3 linked regions of the Cricetulus griseus genome follow. The protein of the gene in region 1 interacts with the protein of each later gene in a biochemical or structural test. Links are inferred from orthologs where the notes say so. Each region holds a gene or a part of one and is shown in the gene's direction. Other genes may lie near its edges.

Region 1 (6,276 bases):
ATGTGATTATTCCCCATAAACAATAAAACATGTATATATTTTACTTAATTAGGCAAATAATTTCACCAAAAATAAGAACAGTTGTGATATAAGAAAGGCCTGGTGGGTTTTATTTAAAGACATTTTTAGGCTAATACTGTAGCACACATGATATAATTACAGATAACTGCAAATTAGAGGCTGAGTCAGGAAGATGGACAGTTGCAGGCCAGTCTAGGCAGCAAGATGGCAAGATGCGATCTTGTCTCAAAAAAAAAAAAAAAAAAAAAAAAAAGACACAAAATAAGTTGTTAAAATGAATGAAATCACCTTAAAAACAGACAATTAAAGACATTTCTTTTTTCCTTTTCAGTGAAGAAAATGTGAAGTATTCTAGTTCCCAGCCAGAGCCACCGACAGGGCTTTCCTTGTGGGACACTGGTCCCTCATATGTTGACAAACTTGTACAAGGCATCAGTTTCTCACAGCCTACATGCCCTGATCATATGCTTGTAAACAGTCAGTTACTCGGTACCCCTGGATCCTCACAGGTAAGGAATTTAGTTTTTCAAATAAATAACTGTTACCTTTTATTTTTGTTGTTAAATCTTGGCCTATGGGATTAATACTTTTAGTTGATGCATATTATTTGCATAAGGAAGAAATAATTAGAGGAGGCCTTTATGGGTGAGAATCCAAAGTCAAGGGAAAGAATTTCAGACTAACTGCTATAAACTGGTCACATGGAATTTATCCTGCTTTCTTCTTTGTGGTATAGAACCCCTGGCAGCGCTTGGTCAAAAGAATGACACGCTTCTTCACCAAATTGGATGCAGACAAATCTTACCAGTGCCTGAAAGAGACCTTTGAGAAGTTGGGCTATCAGTGGAAGAAGAGTTGTATGAATCAGGTGTGTTTTGTTAGTTTTCAGTATCTTTTTAACCATAGAAAATTATAAGTATTTAAATAAAAGATATCAGTAGTCAGTGAATGTTTTGAAAATACAAATAATCAATTTGAAAAAGAAACAGTTGAAGGCTTTAAGGTTTTTGTTTTTGTCCAAAACCTCTAAGGTTAGTATTTTTATATTAAGCTGCAGTTGACGATGTCCTTATCTCCATGTTTGGGTCTTACTTGCCCTGGCTCTTGTCTGTGCCTTTTGTTTTTTTCACATCAGTCATCTTGGCTGAACTACCTTATAGTCTGTGAGAATATCTGAAAAAAAAAACACAAGTGAACAGGAATGAGGAACTGAAATGGGAGTTGCAAGACCTCTCCAGGCCTTCACCGTCACCTTGTTGTTATTGCAGCTTTTCAGCCATAGAGACAGCTTCTTGTTTTCTTTTTCATATATGAGATTGATTGTTTGACTATAGTATTGGGGATTGAACTCAGGCCTTATTCATGTTAGGCAAATGCCCTGCCACCAAGCTATATCTCTAGTCTTCATGATATTCCTATTCCTTTCAGTCATTTCTTTTTTTCAGTTCTGCTTTGTTGCTGAAAGTACACTTAGACTGAGTTCTACTTACAGCTTGGTTTAGATTAGATGCAAAGGTGCCCATTGGAGAGAGTTATAGCAGTCTTTTTTTATTTTTTTAAGATTTATTTTTACTCTTATGTGTACACGACTATGTCTGTGCATCTGTGTGTCAGTGTCTGTTATAGAGGCATCAGACCCTTTGGAGCTAGAATTACAGGAGATTGGGAGCCTCCTGACATGGGTGCTGAAAATGGAACTCAGGTCCTCTGGAAGAGTGAGCATCAAGTGCTCTTAACCTGAGCTGCCTTTCTAGCCCTGTAATTTATAGTGTTCTTCATGCCACTCCTGTCATGCGAGGATTTTACTATACATTTTTATCCCAAAAGTATTACCGACCTGTTGATAACAGATATTTCGTTAAGAGTATTTTCTGTTTGTGTGTGTGTGTGTGTGTGTGTGTGTGTGTGTGGCTTGACTTTATTTTTATTGCCTTAGGTTACTGTATCAACAACTGATAGAAGAAACAATAAGTTGATTTTCAAAATAAATTTGGTAGAAATGGATGAGAAGATACTGGTTGACTTCCGGCTTTCAAAGGTATTTTTTTATGTTTCATTTATAGTTTTTTTTTTTTTTTTTTTTTTTTTTTTTTTTTTTTTTTTGGTTTTTCGAGACAGAGTTTCTCTGTGGCTTTGGAGGCTGTTGTGGAATTAGCTTTTGTAGACTAGGATGGTCTCAAACTCACAGAGATCCGAGTGCCTCTGCCTCCTGAGTGCTGGGATTAAAGGTGTGCGCCACCACCGCCTGGCCTGGCTGCAGTATTGTTTTCTATATTCTTGGTATGTAATTCCATTATGAAGGCTTCTCCTCTATTAAAACTGTTGTCATAACTAAGTTTAGTGGAATTTTTTTTTTAATGATAAAACTTCAATGTGGCTTGGGTTTAGTTCACCAACTCCTGCTGCTTATGGAAAACAATTGGTATAGGTCCAAAGGTACTAGCCCTTGAAACAGAAAAAAAAAAAAAAGCCATTATTCTTTCTCTGCTCAGTGTGGAAAGTGAAGAGCACATAATCAGGTGAGAATTGCCAAGGTAGCCATTTCCACTAGAATTGTTGGTCTTCACAAGTGGACTGGATTCAGTTTGCATTTAATAAATTATTAATGAAGAACCCATAAGATGCTATAATAGCCTGCTCAAGTAAGCCAAAATGCTATAGATTTATATGGAATGAATAACTAAGCTAGAGTGGTACATACCTGAAATCCAGTATTCTCAGAAGAACAGGGAGAAGGGAAAAAAGAAGACATGAGGATGCCATAACTGGATGTATCTAAGGGTGTTTGTTTCTACTGACCAGAAATGAGAATATGATCTTTGACACAGCCTTTTTTTATTTTTTAAAAATATTCCTAAAATAGGGTGATGGATTAGAGTTCAAGAGACACTTCCTGAAGATCAAAGGGAAACTCGGTGATATTGTGAGCAGCCAGAAGGTTTGGTTTCCTGCTACATGATGAAGCTGTCAACTCCGGGGTTTCCTGGTGAATATAGTGCTGCTATGTTGACATTATTCTTCCTAGAGAAGATTGTCCTGCAAACAATAGTTTTTTGAAGAGTTCTCTTCCTATTACCCAAACATCTTCCAATTCTTAGTATGTTTTGCATACATATAATACTGTATCTTAATTGTATGTAATACTTTGGGGAAAGGATGGATCAAATTCATTGGGTATTTCTCCAGCTGTGTTTAAATTGTCTGAATTTGAAAACTATCTGGTAGAAATTAAGTTTTGGGATACATGAGTTTTCCAGCTTTTATCCAGCTTTTATACCAATGTAGTATCACTTCTGAAAAAAAAAAAAAGGAACATTTTGTTTCATCCTAAGAAAACATATTTCTTTTCTGCTATTTAATTGTAAAAAGGAATAAACAGACCATGTGCAGTTGATTGGTCCATGAAGTGAGGCTTGCTACAAAAAATGTATCCTGAGATATGTACTATATTTTTAGTTTGGGTGTATGTATCATACAAGGGCTTGACCAGTTATATAAAACTGTTTTTGAGTTATAATGATTAAAATTACAAGATTTGTTTTTTTTTCTGGTGTAGCTAGTCAAATATAAAGTACTGGTTGGTCTTTCAAGAAGTTGAACATAAGCTCCAGTGCTTATCTTACTTTACTCTAATTTTTACACACTTAATTTTTTTTTTTACATTCACAGCCATATTTTTACTCTAGAAATAAATTCTGTTTTCAAAATCAATGCCTAACTCAGTGAACTTATTGGCCTCAAGTTTCTAGATGACACTGACGGAAAAGGAGATGGGGTAGTAAGGAAACACAAGAATTGGCCTGATTCTTGTTCCTTGCCTTCTAGACTCACTAAAGCTTTGTTTTGTTCATAAAATTTATATTAAAATATGAATTATATGATTGGGGTCTTGTATTCCTTTTTGTAGATAAATTACAATGAGTCTGAAGCTAAGAACACTTACAATTTTGTGGCTAATGTGTGTTACATATTGGCGTATGCCGGCTTACTTACCTCTCCTAGACACAGAAATTAACTGGAACCCAGTCTATTCAGTCTCCTGTTTTCCACATTGTAGTACCACAGTGGTTAAAATTGGTCATCTTTTTAATACTGTTACTTATTCCTTGGTAGTTTATTTTCTAGAAAAGCTATCAGAATGATACTTCTACGGTCCCACTCCCACATTTACAACTTTTCATCACACTTAAATTTCCGAGTTTGGTCTGAGCTGTACAGTTCTATGTGATTGTCTCTTCATCTGATGTTATGTAGTACTGTCTCCAGAGCCTGTGTCTATCAAATCATGACTTACTGCTTCCTGTCAGCCCTTTGCATCCACCATTTTGCTATTTGTCTCCATGAATTTGAATGCTCCTGTAATTACCATAAATAGAATTGGGTATTTGTTTGGCTTATTTCATACTTCTGTATTCAGGAATTATCTATGTTATAACGTATATCAGGTTTCATTCCTTTCTGTGACTAATATTCCACAGTGCACGTGTGTGCATGTGTGCCTGTGTTGTGTCTGCGTGCGCACACATATGCCCCCCTCCCCCGCACATGTGCACTTACTCTTGTATGTTTGGATTGTTGCCACCTTTTGTCCACTGTAAATGATACTGGTGTGAAAATGGATATATAAATATCTGCTCAAGTCTCTGTTTTTAATTCTTTTGTGTGTATACCCAGAGGTAGAATTTCTAGGTGATGTGATAATTGTGTTTTTAATATTTTTGGGCACTATAATATTGTTTGCCATAGTAGCTATATTATTTTTATTCTTTATCTTTTCTTGTAAAGTAGAACAATATATTTAACCCCTACCCACTCCCCCAAACAGGTTTCTCTATATAACAGTCCTGAGTCCTGGCTGCCCTGCAACTCAATCTGTAGACCAGGCTGGCCTCAAACTCACAGAGATCCATCCTAAGTTCTGGGATTAAAGGCATGCACCACCACCCAGCAACTATTTAAAATTAATAACAACTTTTTTTTTTTTTAAGAGACAGGGTCTGACTATGTAGCTCAGACTGGCTTTGAACTCACTATCTGTTTAGGCTGGTTCTTTTCCCCTCCTGCCTTAGTGACCCAAGTACTGGGATTGCGTAGTATGCCTTGCCTAACTTGACTGTGACAGAACAACTATATTTACAGCTGCATTGTCCTCCCCATGTAATTTTATTAATATAAAAAATTGTATCTTTGCCTGTATGTACACTACAATAGATCTATGTTTTCTTTTTTGTTCTTTTGAAGCAGGATTTCATGTAATCTAGACTGGCCTTTAATTTGCTCTATATGAATGGATGGCTTTGAATTCCTCATTTTCCTGTCTCTGCCTCTCAAGAGCTGGGATTATACATGAGTGGTACCATGCCTGCTTTTACTTGGAAGGTGAGCTGATAGCTATCTTCCATATACTTGGCTTTTAAATAATTGTTGTTATATTTTTGTTGATCCAACCTAGGGCCACATTCAAGCCAGGAAAGCACTTTATCATTGAACTATATCCTTAAGCTAGGATTTTTATGATTATCTTTACAGAGGTCTTTATATCATGTATTTTTGTTTTTGTTTTTTGTTTTTTGTTTTTTTTTTCTGTTGTCTGGCATCCTTTCATTTCAGGTTGAAGGAACCATCTTTAGCATTTCTTACATAGCAGGTATAGTTATAACCCACTCCTTTAATTCTCCCTCTGTGAATGTTAATTTGTCTTCATTTCCAAGGGACAATTTTGTTTTATCAGACTCTGAATTTTTAGTTGATAGTCTTTAGCCATTTTTTTTTCTTTCAGTAATGTTTATATTACCTCACTGCATTTTGGCCTACAAGGTTTCTGCTTAGAAATTAATAATCTTTTATTTTTATAAACCACTTTTGGGATAGGGTGGCATTATTTGCTCTATGGTGACTTGGGCCTCAGTCATAGTCCAGGTCCACACTAAACTTGCAACTCTTCTGCCTCAGCCTCCAGTGTATACCACTGTATCTAGTTAACAGAGAATCATATTTGGGATCCTTTCTATTTAGTGAGTTACTTTAATGCTTCCAAGATTCCTTTTTTGTCTTTGTTGATAGTCTTTTAATAGTGTGTATGTCTCAGTGTGGTTCTCCTGGGCCATCCCTAGAGTTTATTGAATTTCCTGTGTTTTTACCTCCATGTCTGTCTTCTGATTTGGAAGAATTTCATCCAAATGCTGTCTGTCTATCCTTTGTTGCCTGTGGGATCCCAAATACTAATTGTTTGATAGTGTCTTTTAAATCAATTAA
Region 2 (7,324 bases), on another chromosome or scaffold:
GATGTTTTCAAAGCCATCGGCCTAGGGAGTGAACACACCAGGTCTCACGCGTAGGCAGGTGCCTTCCAGAGGGACGCCTTCCCTGACTGTCGCCTCCCCCCACCTCCACCTCCCGGACGACTCTATGGTGTGCGACACCTCCAGGGCAACTCAGAGGCCTGGCCTTATTTCAGGCCATCTCCTGCCCATCTTGCACAACTTCGGCCACCCACAGGAGCTTCCCTGTAGACATTCAAACTTGTGCCTCGCCTCCCCTGCTGGGCCTCTGTGTCTCCTCACACCCTCTCTTCATGGAGAACTTCCTGGTCTCTCCCTCAAGTGACCGTATTGACATGTCTGCCCCTTCTCAGGCATCCAGTGGCCCAGGACCCAGCCCATAGTGTGTCCCAGCAGCATTCTGAGGGCTGACTCAGTGCTGTCGAAAGGTGTAGGCAGCTGTTTATTTTAGGATCCCAGGATCACCCAGGACAGCACCATGGGACTGGAATGAGGCTGGGCCTCCTTGTGACTGGTGTTAGACATAGCTTCCCTGACACTTCCAGATTAGGTTCCCACGTCAATTTTGGTTTTAGGCGGATAATCTGGCTACAGGTTAGCAGTTGTCTCAGCCACAGTGGGCAGAGAAAATCACCAAGAGTTCTCAAATTCCTGCCAAGACAATACAGTACACTGCTTAGAAATAATGGCAAAAAAAAAAAAAAAAAGTGTCCTAGGCCCTCCTTGGCTTCCAGGGGTCAGAACACCACTGTCCTATACTTACAAAGAGAAAGGCCACATGAATTGAACTCAGGGCTTCTGCAAAGTCAGTACATGCTCTTAACTGCTGAGCCTTTTCTCCCGTGCCTGTTGCCCCCACCGCCACCACCATCAGTCACACTAGGCAAATAGGGTGTGGTGGGATTACATGCCTATAATTCCAGTGCTCTAGAGGCTGAGACAGGAAAATCACCTCTATTTTGAGGCCAACCAGGGCTACATAACAAGACAGTGTCTCAGAAAAACAAAATATGCTATTCTGCATTTCCTACCCCGGAATTTTGGGCTCCATGTGTCTAGGAGATTTTATGGCATTTGGGGAGTAACCAAGGCCATCAAGAACCTCTTGCCGTGGGGTGTCCCCTGAACACAGGATAGTGTGGCATCCAGGAAGACACAGGAATGGGGATCTATCAGGTAGTGTACCTGACTTGCACCAGTGCAGGATGTGAACAGCTGTGCCAGTCTTCAGAGCCTAAAGCTTGTTGGGGCACTGGGACCCTCCATATGCCTATTTCACTCATTGCAAACCCCGCCTCTTTCCATCCACATTACAGGAAAGGGATAGCCCACCTTCAGGGTCCTTCCAGGGCTGTGGTGACTCCACTACCCTCTGCTGTCATGGGGTCTGGCAGAAGGTGGCTCTGGTTTGTCTTGTCCATGACACCTTGCTAGTAAGGATGGATGAGCATGGAGTGGCGGGCCAGTGGTGGCCGATGAGATTCTGTGAAGGGAAGAGGTAAGTACTGTGAAGAAATGAGGGCTTGTCTTCATTGGAGCTCATAGGGGTCTAGTAGCCTAGGGCAGACTCAGTCATCTTTTCAAAAAAATGTATCCTATCATAGTGACAGAATATGCTCTTGACTTTTCTTGGAGTCTCTTCCATCGAGATGCAGCACCTTCCACACTGGTGAATGTTGCTGTCACCCACATAGTTCCAGGTGGCACAGGGGTTTCCAGCTTTGAGGGAGGCCACCAGCCCGAGAAGGGTTGCTGTACTAACTCATCTCCCTAATGCTCATCCTTTAGCACCTCGGGGTGTCTCTTGTATGATGAGGCCTGCAGATGCCACCTTCTGAGCTTCCTTCCATGCTTCCCCTCCCTGCCCTACTCTACGACCTGTAAGAACCATCCATGCCCAAGGCACCAAGAACTATTCAAGCTGGACATACAGCAGAAATCCCATCCTCGTGAGATTCAGCTGTCTAGGACTACAGGAACAACAGCAGTCCCTTACTGGACGCATACAGCCTATCTTACCCCAGCCAGTATGAATCCCTCCCTCTTTGATAAAAGCCCACAGCAGCCTGAGTGCATGAAGGACTGAATCTCAGAGTTTTGGAAGAAGTTAGTATCAAATCAGGAAGAAATCAGAAAACAGTTTCAGCTGCATCAAGTGGCCATACTGACACCAAGGTCTCACAGCTTAGGAGGCCGGATTGGTCCTTAGAGCCTCGAGCAACCCAAAGTTCAGCTCCGTCCTTTTAGCGTGACAAACCCTTTAAACCTAGGTGTGCAGGCGGCCTGAGTGCAGCCTTTTGAATGCTGTGGGCCGGTCTCCTGGAGAATAGGGCGGGGCCTCGCCTCATGTAGGCGTGACCAAACATTCTAGCCCTCCTCCCGCCCTAGATTGACGCGGGCGTCGTGACGTCTGGCTCCTCTCGGAGTTTCCCGGGCAAGGGCGGGTCACATGATCCAGTTTTCGCGCGAAAACCGGTGGCTGCTGGTACGGCGGAGCGAGCACAGAAATGGCGGTGAGGAGCGTGCTTCTCTTGGGCGGGCGGTGTTCAGCGGTCTCGGCCTACTTTACCGGGTCTTTTCCTCCAGTGGCAGGCCTGAGTCCGGGACGGGTCGTCTCTGCGCCCCACACGTGGCCCTAGGCCTCTGGTCTCCATGCACTGTGGGTGGTGGGGGTGCAGGGAGTGGAACTCAGAACCTCCCGCGTGTAGGGAAAGCGCGCTACCACGTAGCTGCATGCACCGCAATCCACTTGTGTTGAAATAAGGTTTCACAGTCGGGCGGTAGTGGCGCAGCCCTTTAATCCCAGCATTCGGGTGGCAAAGGCAAGCGTATCTCTGTCTTCAAGGCCAGCTTGGTTTACAGTGCAAATTCCAGGACAGTTACACAGAGAAACCCTGTCTGGAAAAACTAAAACAAGAAAGAAAGAGAAAGGGTCTCACTAGATCAGCCAGGCTGATCTTGAACTCACTCTGTAGTTCGGGTTAACTTTGAACTTGACATCATCAGGCTGACTCAACTTCTGGGTATTCGGGATTACATAACTTGTGACATCAGGCCCGGCTTCCCTGCTCTTAGTGTTAGGGGCTCATGACTCTGACTTGTTAAAGAGTAAAGGTCTGTTCTTGACTTCAGTTCATGTTCCTTGATGTCTCTTAATCATCACTTCTTGTCCCAGCACCCAGCATATTGTTGAGGTTCCAGTAGATGATAAACGGCTGAAAACAAACAAACAAACAAACAAAAAAACCCACAAAACTACATAGCCCCCTTGGTTTTTCATAAGAGAGATGTGACCCAGTAAGGGCGGAGATGCCCCTTGATGGCCTCAGATCATTGCAAGCAGAGGACCCAGCAAGTGGAAAGGACTCAAGGCTAAAGGGCTTCCATGTCCCTGAGAACAGTGCCTGGCAGACAGGAGACTGCCAGCCAGCGGGGAAGGCCCCGTGATAGCCAGGTGGGTGTCAGCCTGTGTCCCTGCTGTGTCTGATGGCAGCCTCTCTTGCAGGAATCTTCTGAGTCCTTCTCGGCAGCATCTAGCCCTGCCCAGCAGCGCCGACGCATCAGTGATCCCCTCACCTCCAGCCCAGGCCGCAGCTCCAGACGTGCGGATGCCCTTACCTCCAGCCCTGGCAGAGACCTCCCTCCATTTGAGGATGAGTCTGAGGGGCTGCTGGGCACTGAGGGGCCTGTTGAGGAAGAAGAGGATGGCGAGGAACTCATTGGTGATGGCATGGAGAGGTATTTTCAGTCTCTGTCTTGGCTAGCTGGTGGTTTAGCAGAAGGACCCTTGTGTCTGGTGGCCTGGCCTTGGGAGCACATGAGTGTATAAACTTGGTAACTTTGAATGTGGCATGGTTCAGGTTGGGGAGAGACAGTTTCAACAAACACTGTGGAGATCCATTTAGCTAACTATATACAGCTCAGACTAGACCCTAAGGCCCAGGCAAGCCCCAGCTCAGGAGAAGAGGAGGACCCATAGAGTCTGATCTGAAGAGGCATGCCAACTCAGAAAGATGGGAAGTGGACTGCAAGTGTTTTCTCTCTGCCTTTCTTAACACATTGGGTAGTGCTTCTGAAAATGAAGGTTTAGAGTCAGTCAAACTTGACCCAGCATGCATCAGGCCCTGGGTCAGAAGTGTTCAGGGTTATATACAGACTTACTGAAGGTGGAGGCTGACTGCTAGGAAGCCGGGTGTAAGCTTTGCCAGTAAGTACAGTTAGATTCCTACTTTAGCCTTACCAGCAATTACAGCTGGGATCAGGTACGAATTATATGGGCACCTAGGAGCCTTGTGGCATGCTCCTTTTTTGCCCGGGGGGGGGGGGTGATATCTGAGGTGTGAGCCATCAGAGGGACTGTCAGGGGTCTTCTGCACCATCCGGTTCTTTGCTTTAAGCAAAGACTAGTTAACTGAGAGTAGCTATGTGGTGTGTGTCTGGCTATGGGAGGAATTGATCCAGATCATCCTGGGCTCAGGGTCAAGGGCTTCCCCCTGTGCTCCCTCCCTATCTGTCTTCACTCTTGGGTTATACATCCTCTTTAAAGTGAGAGGACCTTGGGGAGGGTGCCTAAAGATGTCTGAAGACTATCTGATATAGTGACAGTTTGTGTGGAAAGAGGCTAATTTATGTATTATAAGCCTTACCCTTGTAAGAGTACAGCGCAGGGATGTTCACTGCATGCTTTCTGAGCGCCGTTTCCGTTGCCCCACTGAGGTCCCTCCTGCCTGTGGATCCCAGTTCCCAGCCCCATCACAGCCACCCAACTATCTCTTTCTTCATCTCCATAGCTCTTCCAGTTCTGAGCATGTGGCCAGAACTGGGATCGTATGATACTTGTCCTTTTGTGCCAACGTTTCACTCAGCACAGTGCTTTCAAAGTTCAGTCTTTTTTGAAAAATGTATGGGTGTTTTACCTGCATATAGATCTATATACCACATACATGCCTATGCCCACAGAGGCCAGAGGAGGATATCAGACCCCCCTGAAACTGTAGTTAATCTATGGTTGTGAGCTGCCGTGTGGGTTTCCAGAAATGAACCCAGGTCCTTTGCAAGAGAAGCCAGTACTCTGAACTACTGAGCCATTTCCAGCCCCTCATTTTTTTTGTTTGTGTTTCAAGTCAGGGTTTCTCTGTGTTACAGCCCTAACTATTCTGTTTACTTTGTAAACCAGTCTGACCTTGAACTCACAGAGATTTGCCTGCGTCTGCCTCCCAGAGATTAAAGGTGTGCACCACCACACCCTGCTGCTCATTTTCTTAGTACTGTATTTTAAAAATATCTCATTATATTGTTCATTGTGTGTTTATGCATTGCTACACATGCCATGGCATGCATGTGGAGGTCAAAGGACAACTTGTTGAAATTTCTCCTTCCTCTGTTGGGTTTCAGGGACTGAACTCACATCAGGTTTGGAGACGAGTCTTTAGCCATTGAGCCATCTCATTAATCCAGAAATGCTGTATTAAGGCATAAAGGTTTTGAAATTCCATGAGACCCAGATTGGTTGGTGTGTTTTGCTGTAGACTAACTAATTGTCACTGTTTTGGGTGACTGAAATCCTCTCAGGGTCGGAACAGACTTTCCTCAGAAACCATTGGTGAATTCTGCATAATTCAATAGACTTTTACTTGATATGACTTTGGTGATGTGAGATTGTTTGTTTTGAGAGGGTAGTTTGGGAACATTGACCAGAGAAAGGGGGCAGCCTTAACAGTTAGCCTGAGGAAGAGAACTCCAGAGGTCCGCTTCCCTGGGAGATGCTGGCTCCTGGGGGGAGGCCCTGAGGAAAGAGCTTGCAGCCTTTTGGACTATAGAATCATATCACCTACTCAAAGATGAAACGGCACTGATGCGATGGGACTCTGGGACTCACAAATCACAGGGAAGACGCTGCCTGGCTCTCTGTGTTAGACAGTACTTCCCTCAAGTACCTAACAAGTGGTCACCTGGAAGGAGACTGCTTGATGGTCTTGGAATAGCTCAGAAGGTTGAGCCAGTAGGTGTGAGCTTTTCAGGCAGCCAGTCTGGCTGGGTTTTCAGAAAGGGTATGCTCAGGTTGGGAGAGGACACAAGGTGGGTATAACCCCTGGACCCACTGTGCTCCGAAGCCTTTCTGGTGTCAAGGTCTTGGCTTCCTCTGATTCCATTTTCTTCTTTAAACATTTGGTTTGGTTTTGCTGTGTGTGTGTGTGTGTGTGTGTGTGTGTGTGTGTGTGTGTGTGTGTGTGTGTGTTTGGTTTTTCAACACAGGGTTTCTCTGTGTAACAGTTCTGGCTGTCCTGGAACTCACTCTGTATACTCACTCTGTATGTAGACCAGGCTGACCTCGAACTCACTGAGAGTTCTGCCTCCCCAAATGCTGGGATTAAAGTCATGTGCCACCAATGCCCAGCTTGACATTTTTTTTTTTAATGACTTTATTTTATGTGTGTTGGTGTTTTGCCTGCATGTATGTCTGTGTGAGGGTGTTGTCAGGTCCCCTGGAACTGGAGTTACAGATAGTTGTGAGCTGCCATGTGGGTGCTGGGAATTGAACCTAGGTCCTCTAGAAGAGCAGGCAGTGCTCTTAACCACTGAGCCATCTCTCCAGCCCATAATTCCTTCTCCTTATTGGGACTAAGCAGCTCTCTGGAGAGCTTCATTTCCTGCCTGCTCCTTAAAATAAAAATTGTATATTCTTGAGTGTCTGCGTGTTTGTGCGCTTGAATGTATAGGTGCCTTCAGAGGCCAGAAGGAGTCAGATCCCCTGAAGTTGGAGGTACAGGTTGGGTTATGAGCTGCCTGACATGAGTCAGGTCCTCTACTGAGCCCTCTCTCCAGCCCAACGTCCTTTATTGTAAAATACACTTAATTTTAGTGTGTGGCTCAGTGGCATTCATCTGAGTTACTGTGTAGCCATCTCCAGAACCTTTTTATCTGTTCCCCATAAATGCTGACTCTCCACTCACCATTTGGCTATCTTTCTCTGAGTCTGACCCCTCTGTGGACCATATGGTAATGGTATGGCTTAATCCCCTAGTATGAGATCCTCAAGATCATCCATGCTGCAGCACCTGTCATAGCCCCCTTTTGGTTTGGTTTTTGTTTTTTGGATTTTCAAGACAGGGTTTCTCCGTAGCTTTGGAGCCTGTCCTGGGACTAGCTCTGTAGACCAGGCTGTCCTCGAACTCACAGAGATCCACCTGCCTCTGCCTCCCGAGTGCTGGGATTAAAGGCGTGTAGCACTATCTCCCATGCACACCAGAAGAGGGCACCAGATCTCATTATGGATGGTTGTGAGCCACCATGTGGATGCTGGGAATTGAACTCAGGACCTCTGGAA
Region 3 (7,224 bases), about 69 Mb from region 1:
CTCCTTGTGTGGCTGTCCTTTGGTGCTATGCCAACCTGCAAAAGGAAAGCCTAGATCACAGAAGGCTATTTATTTAGAAGCAATCTAAACGATCTTTACAACTTCTTGAATTTGTTTTCTCACCAAAAAAAGCCCTATCAGACATTCAGGAACTCTACTGAGATAAAGTAATTATGCTTTATTTTGTGAGATACATGTCAATGATTTTCTGTTTTGGGTTTGGTTGTTTTTGTTTTGTTTGCTTTTGGCAGATTCTTGCCATGTAGCCCTGGCTAGCTCAAACTTCTTGTAGCAGTCCTCCTGCTTCATGCATTACCAAGTCTCAGCTTGATATCATCAGCTCAATAGTTTTCATTATGAACAATAAAACGCAAAGGTGTTGGGTATGTTGCATGCCTGTAATCCCTATGGATCTCTGAGTTTAGTGCTAATTGGTCTACGTTAGCAGGTCTACATTAGCCAGCCAAAGATACGCAGTAAAACTTTGTCTCCAAAAAGGATAGAAGGGTTTTTATAGAAATTCAGCTAGCTAATAAATAGAAGGGCCTGTCTTTTTCCTTTTGATTCAGTCGAATTACAAAATCTTTTACTTAATGTGGGTATTCATAATTCAGTCTCCTTTTGTCATGGTCAAGGTAAATATTTTGGAGTTCTAGTTAAAACTCTGGTGTCACCCTCTACCTTTGGTTTGTTACAGCTTCTACACCAGTCTTTATCCCTGACATCCTCACCCAAAGGAACCATTGAGACCATTTTGGACAGTGACCCAAGAGACCTTATAGGAGATTTCTCCAAGGTAATTGCAAGAAGAGTTGGATAGTACTGAGGAAGTGATGGGGGTAGCTAGAACCCCACTTAGCCTTTCTCCTTCAAGGTGGCTCCTGGGGTGCCTCCAAAGCAACATTTTAAAAAGTTAAAGATAGGGAACAAATTGAGCTTCTAATGATAAGGTACATGTTGGTCTTTGAGACTGTGGTTTCCTGTTGGCTATCTGCCTTCACTCTGACCCATAATGCAGGTTCTCTGGGAACTGAACTTCTGACTATAAAAATAGTATGCATATACAACCATGCTTTGAGTCCATATGTTGAAAGGTATCTTAGAAGGTCCAGATTTTCTGGGTGGTGGTGGTGCATACCTTTAATTCCAGCACTTAGGAGGCAGAATTTGCCAGTCTGATCTACCTAGTAAGTTCCAGGATAGTGGGACAATATAGAGACCCTGTCTCAAAAAAATAAAAAGAGAACGGGGAGTTTGGAGAGAAGAACAACCAAGGGCTTGTGTAACCTTCAACGAGTTGAGACTGTTGGTGGTTTTTAATATGGTCATGGGTAGGCTCTTAACTTGGCCAGTTATCCTCTAAGTAACGTTACTGTGTTCGTCTTTCTTAAGGTTGGACCAAGGTTGTTTTCCCATTCTCACTGCCCATCTCCCCTGGGCAACCACGTGCTAATTAGATGAGCAAATTGTCTTCACTTCTGAGGTGGGGTCTCACTATTTAGCCCAAGCGGACCTTAGACGCATATCGCCTTCCTCGGGCTCCCAGTGCTGGGTTACACAGTATATAGTACCATGCCTATGTTTTGTTACAGAGTCTCATATCCCCAATTGGCCTCATGTTCACACTCAGGCTGGAGTTGAATTCATGGATCCTCCTACTTCTTCCTCCCAAAGGCTATTATTACAGACCTGAGCCACTATAGACCGGGCTGGCCTGGAACTCATAGAGATCCTCCTACCTCTGCCTCCCAAGTGCTGGAATTATTAAAGGCGTGCGCCACCACTGCCTGGCTCTTTGCTGCATTTTTAGGTCTTCATACTTTAACCACTAAGATGAGAGTTCCCTTTTAAAAACAAGAGAAAGGGGAAATCACCTACAATTTCTGTCTTCAAATCTAGCCTCAGTTCCAAGCCAGCCAGGCTTGTGCTGTCTCAAAGGCTCATTTCTTTAATCCCAGGAGCAGACACACCTCTGGGTTTGGAGCCAGACTGGTCTACATAATGAGACCATTCCTCCTTAAACAAATAACAATTAAATATCCGAGTGTTGGTGCATAGAAGGGTAGTTAGCATATACTATTCACTTGTTCATATACTATTCATTTGTTTCTGGGTTTGTTTTTTTGGGCTGCTCCCTACCAGCTGGGCAACAGAGGAAACGACATTTGCAAGCTTTCACGTTCCTTCCCCTGAGTATCTTCTGTTCCTTTTTTAAAGGGTTATCTCTTTCATACAGTCTCTGGGAAGCATCAGGATTTGAAATATATTTCTCCAGAAATTGTAAGTCACATTTGTGGAACCCACTGCACACGGGGGTTGGAATCTTGTTATGTGACTGCCACCATTGACACCCCACCCTCCTTTTTCTTCATAGATGGCATCTGTTTTGAATGGCAAGTTTGCTAACCTCATTAAAGAGTTTGTTATCATTGACTGCCGATATCCATATGAATATGAAGGAGGTCACATCAAGGTTTGGATTCTTGAGACTTATCGTGGGTGGCTTAGAGGAGGGTTATTGACACCTCTCAGCTGATGGTGAGGATTTAGAACAAGCCAGAAGATGTGAGTTCCTGCAGTGCTCTCCTTGTCTGCCCCTCACTCTGTGCTGTTTCAGGGCATTTCTAGGTGGCATCCCTGACATCTAAGCCATTCAGTGGAGCCACAAAGTGCTCCATAGTATTTGAAATCTTAAATATAAATATTTGACCATCCCAGAGCTCCTGACTAAAAGACGCCATTCTGGCAACATGCCTTGGTATCTGTACCGGGCCTCTATTCTTTAATCAAACAGCCAAATTGGTGGAGGGACATGTTGGAATACATGTTTCTGGTCATACCACTTTAATATTACCTTATAAATTAATTTAATATTACCTTATAAAGCAGTGTTTAAATGTGGTGTAGGGGGTATTACCTTCTAACTTTATGAAGTGACCTTGGAAATAATTTCCAGTTTTCATATTTGTTACTGATCTATAGAGAAAGCCTATAGACCTATAGAGAAAGCCTCATTGAGATACAAAAGTCTACTGGACTGCTGTGCCAGGAGACCTGCAGAATCACAAATTACTCTGAGGAGCTGGCTCCCTCTTTGAGTCTTCAAGTGTGATTCAGCAGATGTTAAAAGTATCTGGTGTCTTCAAAGGGTGCCGTGAACTTGCACATGGAAGAAGAGGTTGAGGAGTTCTTACTCAAAAAACCTATTGTACCTACTGATGGCAAGCGTGTCATTGTCGTATTCCACTGTGAGTTTTCTTCTGAAAGAGGCCCTCGCATGTAAGTACTACAGAGAATAAGACTTGGGGGTAGAGGGTTCATGTTGTTTTTGTTGAGCCTGGTAGTATGTTCCTTTTTCACTAGTGGTATAAGTGTAGTATGTCACACACCCTGTTGTGAGACCAATGGTGAGTCTAATGTGTTTGACCTTTGTCCCCTTTGGCTCACCAAGAATAGAGGAGTAGATACCTGCTATGTAGCAGATACTACTAAGATAATAAAATGGAGCCATTCATTAAAGATACAGTGGTGAGGCTGAACATGTGTGGTGGCAGGGAAAATGATCCGGGTGGCAGGTCCAATCCTGAGTAATAGTAAATACATCCAAACTGGCAGTACTTAACCTTTACTAAGAAAGAGACACTCCATAGAATGGGAGTAGGCTCAGAAGACCAGGTCTTGGTCTTGGGCGTGCTTTGCTCTTTGGGTATACTGCTGGGGTTGAAAGCAGGTCCCTGGTGTGCTGGACAGGCACTGCTGCACTCCTCCCTTTGCTGAAGTTATACGAGCTTGTGGTTTCATCTTGCTGTTCTGCCACATTTACATACATTCCATTCATAACTACAGCAGGGCACTATTGTATAAGAATTCAAGGCCAGTCTGGACTATGTAGTGAGATCCTGTCACCAAAAAAGAAAGAAAAAACCAAACAGACAGAAACATATGAACAGATAACAAACATTTGCACAGGACCTGAATAGTCACACATGAATGGAAATTATCAGGAACTTGCATCCCAGTCTTCATAAGCTTGGCAGTCCTCTAAGCAATAACAGTATAAAACAAGGACAGCCTCCAAAGCCACAGAGAAACCCTGTCTCAAACAAAACAAAAAACTAAAACCCTGCCTTTCTGGAGGTCACATTCGGAGAAAGCAGGAGGCAGAGAAGCATAAGAAATACTTAGAACTTTCAGGCGGGAGAGATGGCTCAGAGGTTAAGAGCACTGGCTGCTCTTCCAGAGGTCCTGAGTTCAATTCCCAGCAACCACATGGTGGCTCACAACCATCTGTTATGAGATCTGGTGCCCTTTTCTGGTGTGCAGATATACATGGAAGCAGAATGTTGTATACATAATAAATAAATAAATAAAACCTTTAAAAAAGGAAAAGAAAAGAAATACTTAGAACTAACTATGCAAAATGTTCACAAGTCCTTCAAAAGGAGGTCAGAGGTGGAAGCTCCTGGGCGGAAGAGAAGATCAGAGTGGGATGGGGGCGAGGCCGTCGAGGCAGCACATCTGTAGGCACAACTGCACCTTGTCTACAGGTTTGGGCAGGGTGGACCATTGAGACAAGAGCTTCCAGTGGTCACTTCTGTGCGGGGTTCCAGTAGGTACTCCCAGGAAGTAGACACCCTAGTCTGTCTAAAGGCACAGAAAGGGTTCTACTTCAATAGGAGGTGAGTGGGGAGGCGAGTGAGTTGGTTCAGAGCTGCTGCAGGCAGTGTTATTAGCGCGTGCTTAGGAAGGAGTGAGTGCCTGAAACACCACTGTTCTCACTGTTGTCTCCATTCCTTTTCGCTAGGTGCCGATATGTGAGAGAAAGAGATAGGCTTGGCAATGAATACCCCAAACTCCACTACCCCGAGCTGTATGTCCTAAAGGGGGGATACAAAGAGTTCTTCCTGAAATGCCAGGTGAGGCATCTATGAATAGCATGTCTCTGTGCCTATGCTGGACCAATAAATCAGTTGTTGCGGCTGCTTGGGTGGGGGTGGGGTCTGGAGACAAGCCGAGCATCCTCTAAGCACCAGGCTCCTGTAGAACTTGTTGGCCCTTGCTTCTTGCTTCTCACAGCCTTGCAGCTCTAGGCAGGGGTTAGCCAGACTGTGAGGCAGTTCATGTCCTGACTTTGTTCCCTCATTCTCACGTCCCTATAGTCTCACTGTGAGCCCCCCAGTTACCGACCAATGCACCATGAAGACTTTAAAGAAGACCTGAAGAAGTTTCGTACCAAGAGCCGGACCTGGGCAGGGGAAAAGAGCAAAAGAGAGATGTATAGTCGCCTGAAGAAGCTTTGAAGCCAGACAGCAGCAGCCATATTTCCCTCTGCCCCTTTCCTTTCCCTTTGCTGCAGAGCAGGAAGCAAAGGAGCCAGCTGCGGTACACGGAGAAAGACACAGGCCTTCCGTGCCTTAATCCTGTCTCCTACACTCCCAGGTTGGAGCCCAGGGCTCTCCTGTCCTATAAGATTCCTTCCCTGTCAGGACTATCTGCCAGAGCTGGATACACCACAGCGCAGACCAGAGTCTACAGTCTAGAGCGCCGTGTCAAGCTGCTCTGACTGAGCGTCCCATGCATGAAGAGTAGCTAGGGCCTTATTCGGCAGACCCTGGCCGCCTGTCATGAGGGGAGAGAAGTGACAAACAGAAGTGCTGCTGGCCAAATACCAAAGATAGGCTGGAAGGGAGAGAGAGGTCTTTGTGGATGACCCATAACTTTAATTTATTCAGCTTCATCGATTATTTTATTATTTTTTTAATTCCTCAAGACTTTTACTTTACTGCTTCATTAAGTCAAAATACTGCCATCCTAGGTAGAGTTTTATCATTCCAGGAACTACCTCTACTTTTAATTTAAAAAAAAAAAAAAATTGGGGCAGGGATAAGAATAGGCAAACCTGTTGTGGACAGCGCTAGGAGCTCAGTCACCCCTAGGAGGCACTGTGAACTGGGATTGCTGCTACTCAAAGTCAAGGACTGAGATGCTGGTAAGAGCCTGCACCAGATCCAGGCTTGGCTACAGGACATAAGCTAACCTTCCCAGACCGCCCTCTGTCCTTTGTGATGTCCTTGGGGAAGTTTTAGATCCACTCCAGGTTCCCACGATGGTGGCTTCTATAGGAGTCCCAGGAAAGCACTTCAGGCAGCTTCCTTCTGGCCATCCCAGGCCAGTGCTGGAATGCTGTGGTTAGTGTAGGTGCCCCAGGGTGAGAGTGGGGAGGAATGAGTGGAGTCCACTGGGGAGGGAGGAGCATGCTCACTGAATGTCCTTTGGGAAAAAAAAAAAGTCATTGTATGAGTTGAGGAGTATCAAATCATTGTTGGGTGGGCACCCAAGGGTGAGAAGGGGGCGAAGAAGCCCAGACCATTGGGTGGAAGGAGTCGGTCCTGGCCTACAGATGACTGTAGACTTTCTCAGGAGGAAGTGGTAAATTTTGAAGTAAAATGTTCTGGGTTTATCATGTTTTAATTTGAGGGACAGGGAGTGGTAAATCACACCAGTTACCCCCTTAATCTAACCCCATGGAGGTGAGGCTCTCGAGGGAACATCTCCATCTGAGGAGCTGGGCTGTGCTTTAGTTGTGTGCAGCCTATTTTGGTGTCTGTCCATCAACATTTCCGGGCAGCAGTCTCCTGGTCGGTCATCTTTGCTCCGCTGGGGTCTAGCCAGGTTTTTCTTAGGGACAGTCTCCCCTCTTGCCTCTTTCTATTCTGGGGGTGGGGAGGGAATCAGTGATATTGAAGATGGCTAGTTGTTTGTTATGGGTTTGAGTTACATTTGGCTATAAAAACAAATCTTGTTGGAAAATACATGGAGAACAAGGGAATGAGCAGCCTCTTCCCCAGTGTTGAAATGTGTCCCAATTAGTCTCTGGTTTGTAGAGATTCTGTTAGTTGAAGGAGAATGGCTTTTGGATTGTACCAGCTTAGCTAGCATTGTTAACCAACTGTTGAAGGCTCTGCAAATAAAAGTGACCTTGAACCCATAGTCTCTGCCTAGTTCCTAATATACTCAAAGGGGACTTTTAATTTTCACTTAATGTTCTAGGGTCAACGAACTAAAACTGACGCAACCATATTTCCTCGGGGATAAATAGATACAGTTTGGTTTCAGCAATGGCTGAAACAATCCCATTATCACTAAAATGTGCTCAGTGATTGACAGGATGAAATGGACATGTCTTAGGCACTGCAGTGTGCACTCTAGATCGCTGCACTCTGG

The links.
Region 2: the proteins of Chek1 (region 1) and Mcm2 form a complex in vitro, tested with the Homo sapiens proteins (2 studies listed by BioGRID, with this or other methods). The link is inferred for Cricetulus griseus from reciprocal best matches to the Homo sapiens genes CHEK1 and MCM2.
Region 3: of the proteins of Chek1 (region 1) and Cdc25a, one has a biochemical effect on the other in vitro, tested with the Homo sapiens proteins (7 studies listed by BioGRID and IntAct, with this or other methods). The link is inferred for Cricetulus griseus from reciprocal best matches to the Homo sapiens genes CHEK1 and CDC25A.

Annotation. Positions count from the first base shown.
Region 1 is NC_048597.1:148,657,245-148,663,520, reverse strand, and holds the end of Chek1 (serine/threonine-protein kinase Chk1), read left to right. Parts: intron 1-352; coding exon 353-530; intron 531-757; coding exon 758-889; intron 890-1,957; coding exon 1,958-2,059; intron 2,060-2,884; coding exon 2,885-2,980; 3' UTR 2,981-3,899; downstream 3,900-6,276. UniProt on the Homo sapiens protein: Serine/threonine-protein kinase which is required for checkpoint-mediated cell cycle arrest and activation of DNA repair in response to the presence of DNA damage or unreplicated DNA.
Region 2 is NC_048601.1:54,398,831-54,406,154, forward strand, and holds the start of Mcm2 (DNA replication licensing factor MCM2), read left to right. Parts: upstream 1-2,356; 5' UTR 2,357-2,504; coding exon 2,505-2,510; intron 2,511-3,502; coding exon 3,503-3,735; intron 3,736-7,324. UniProt on the Homo sapiens protein: Acts as a component of the MCM2-7 complex (MCM complex) which is the replicative helicase essential for 'once per cell cycle' DNA replication initiation and elongation in eukaryotic cells.
Region 3 is NC_048597.1:217,362,526-217,369,749, forward strand, and holds the end of Cdc25a (M-phase inducer phosphatase 1), read left to right. Parts: intron 1-697; coding exon 698-796; intron 797-2,217; coding exon 2,218-2,280; intron 2,281-2,374; coding exon 2,375-2,473; intron 2,474-3,148; coding exon 3,149-3,279; intron 3,280-4,804; coding exon 4,805-4,916; intron 4,917-5,159; coding exon 5,160-5,300; downstream 5,301-7,224. UniProt on the Homo sapiens protein: Tyrosine protein phosphatase which functions as a dosage-dependent inducer of mitotic progression. Directly dephosphorylates CDK1 and stimulates its kinase activity. Also dephosphorylates CDK2 in complex with cyclin-E, in vitro.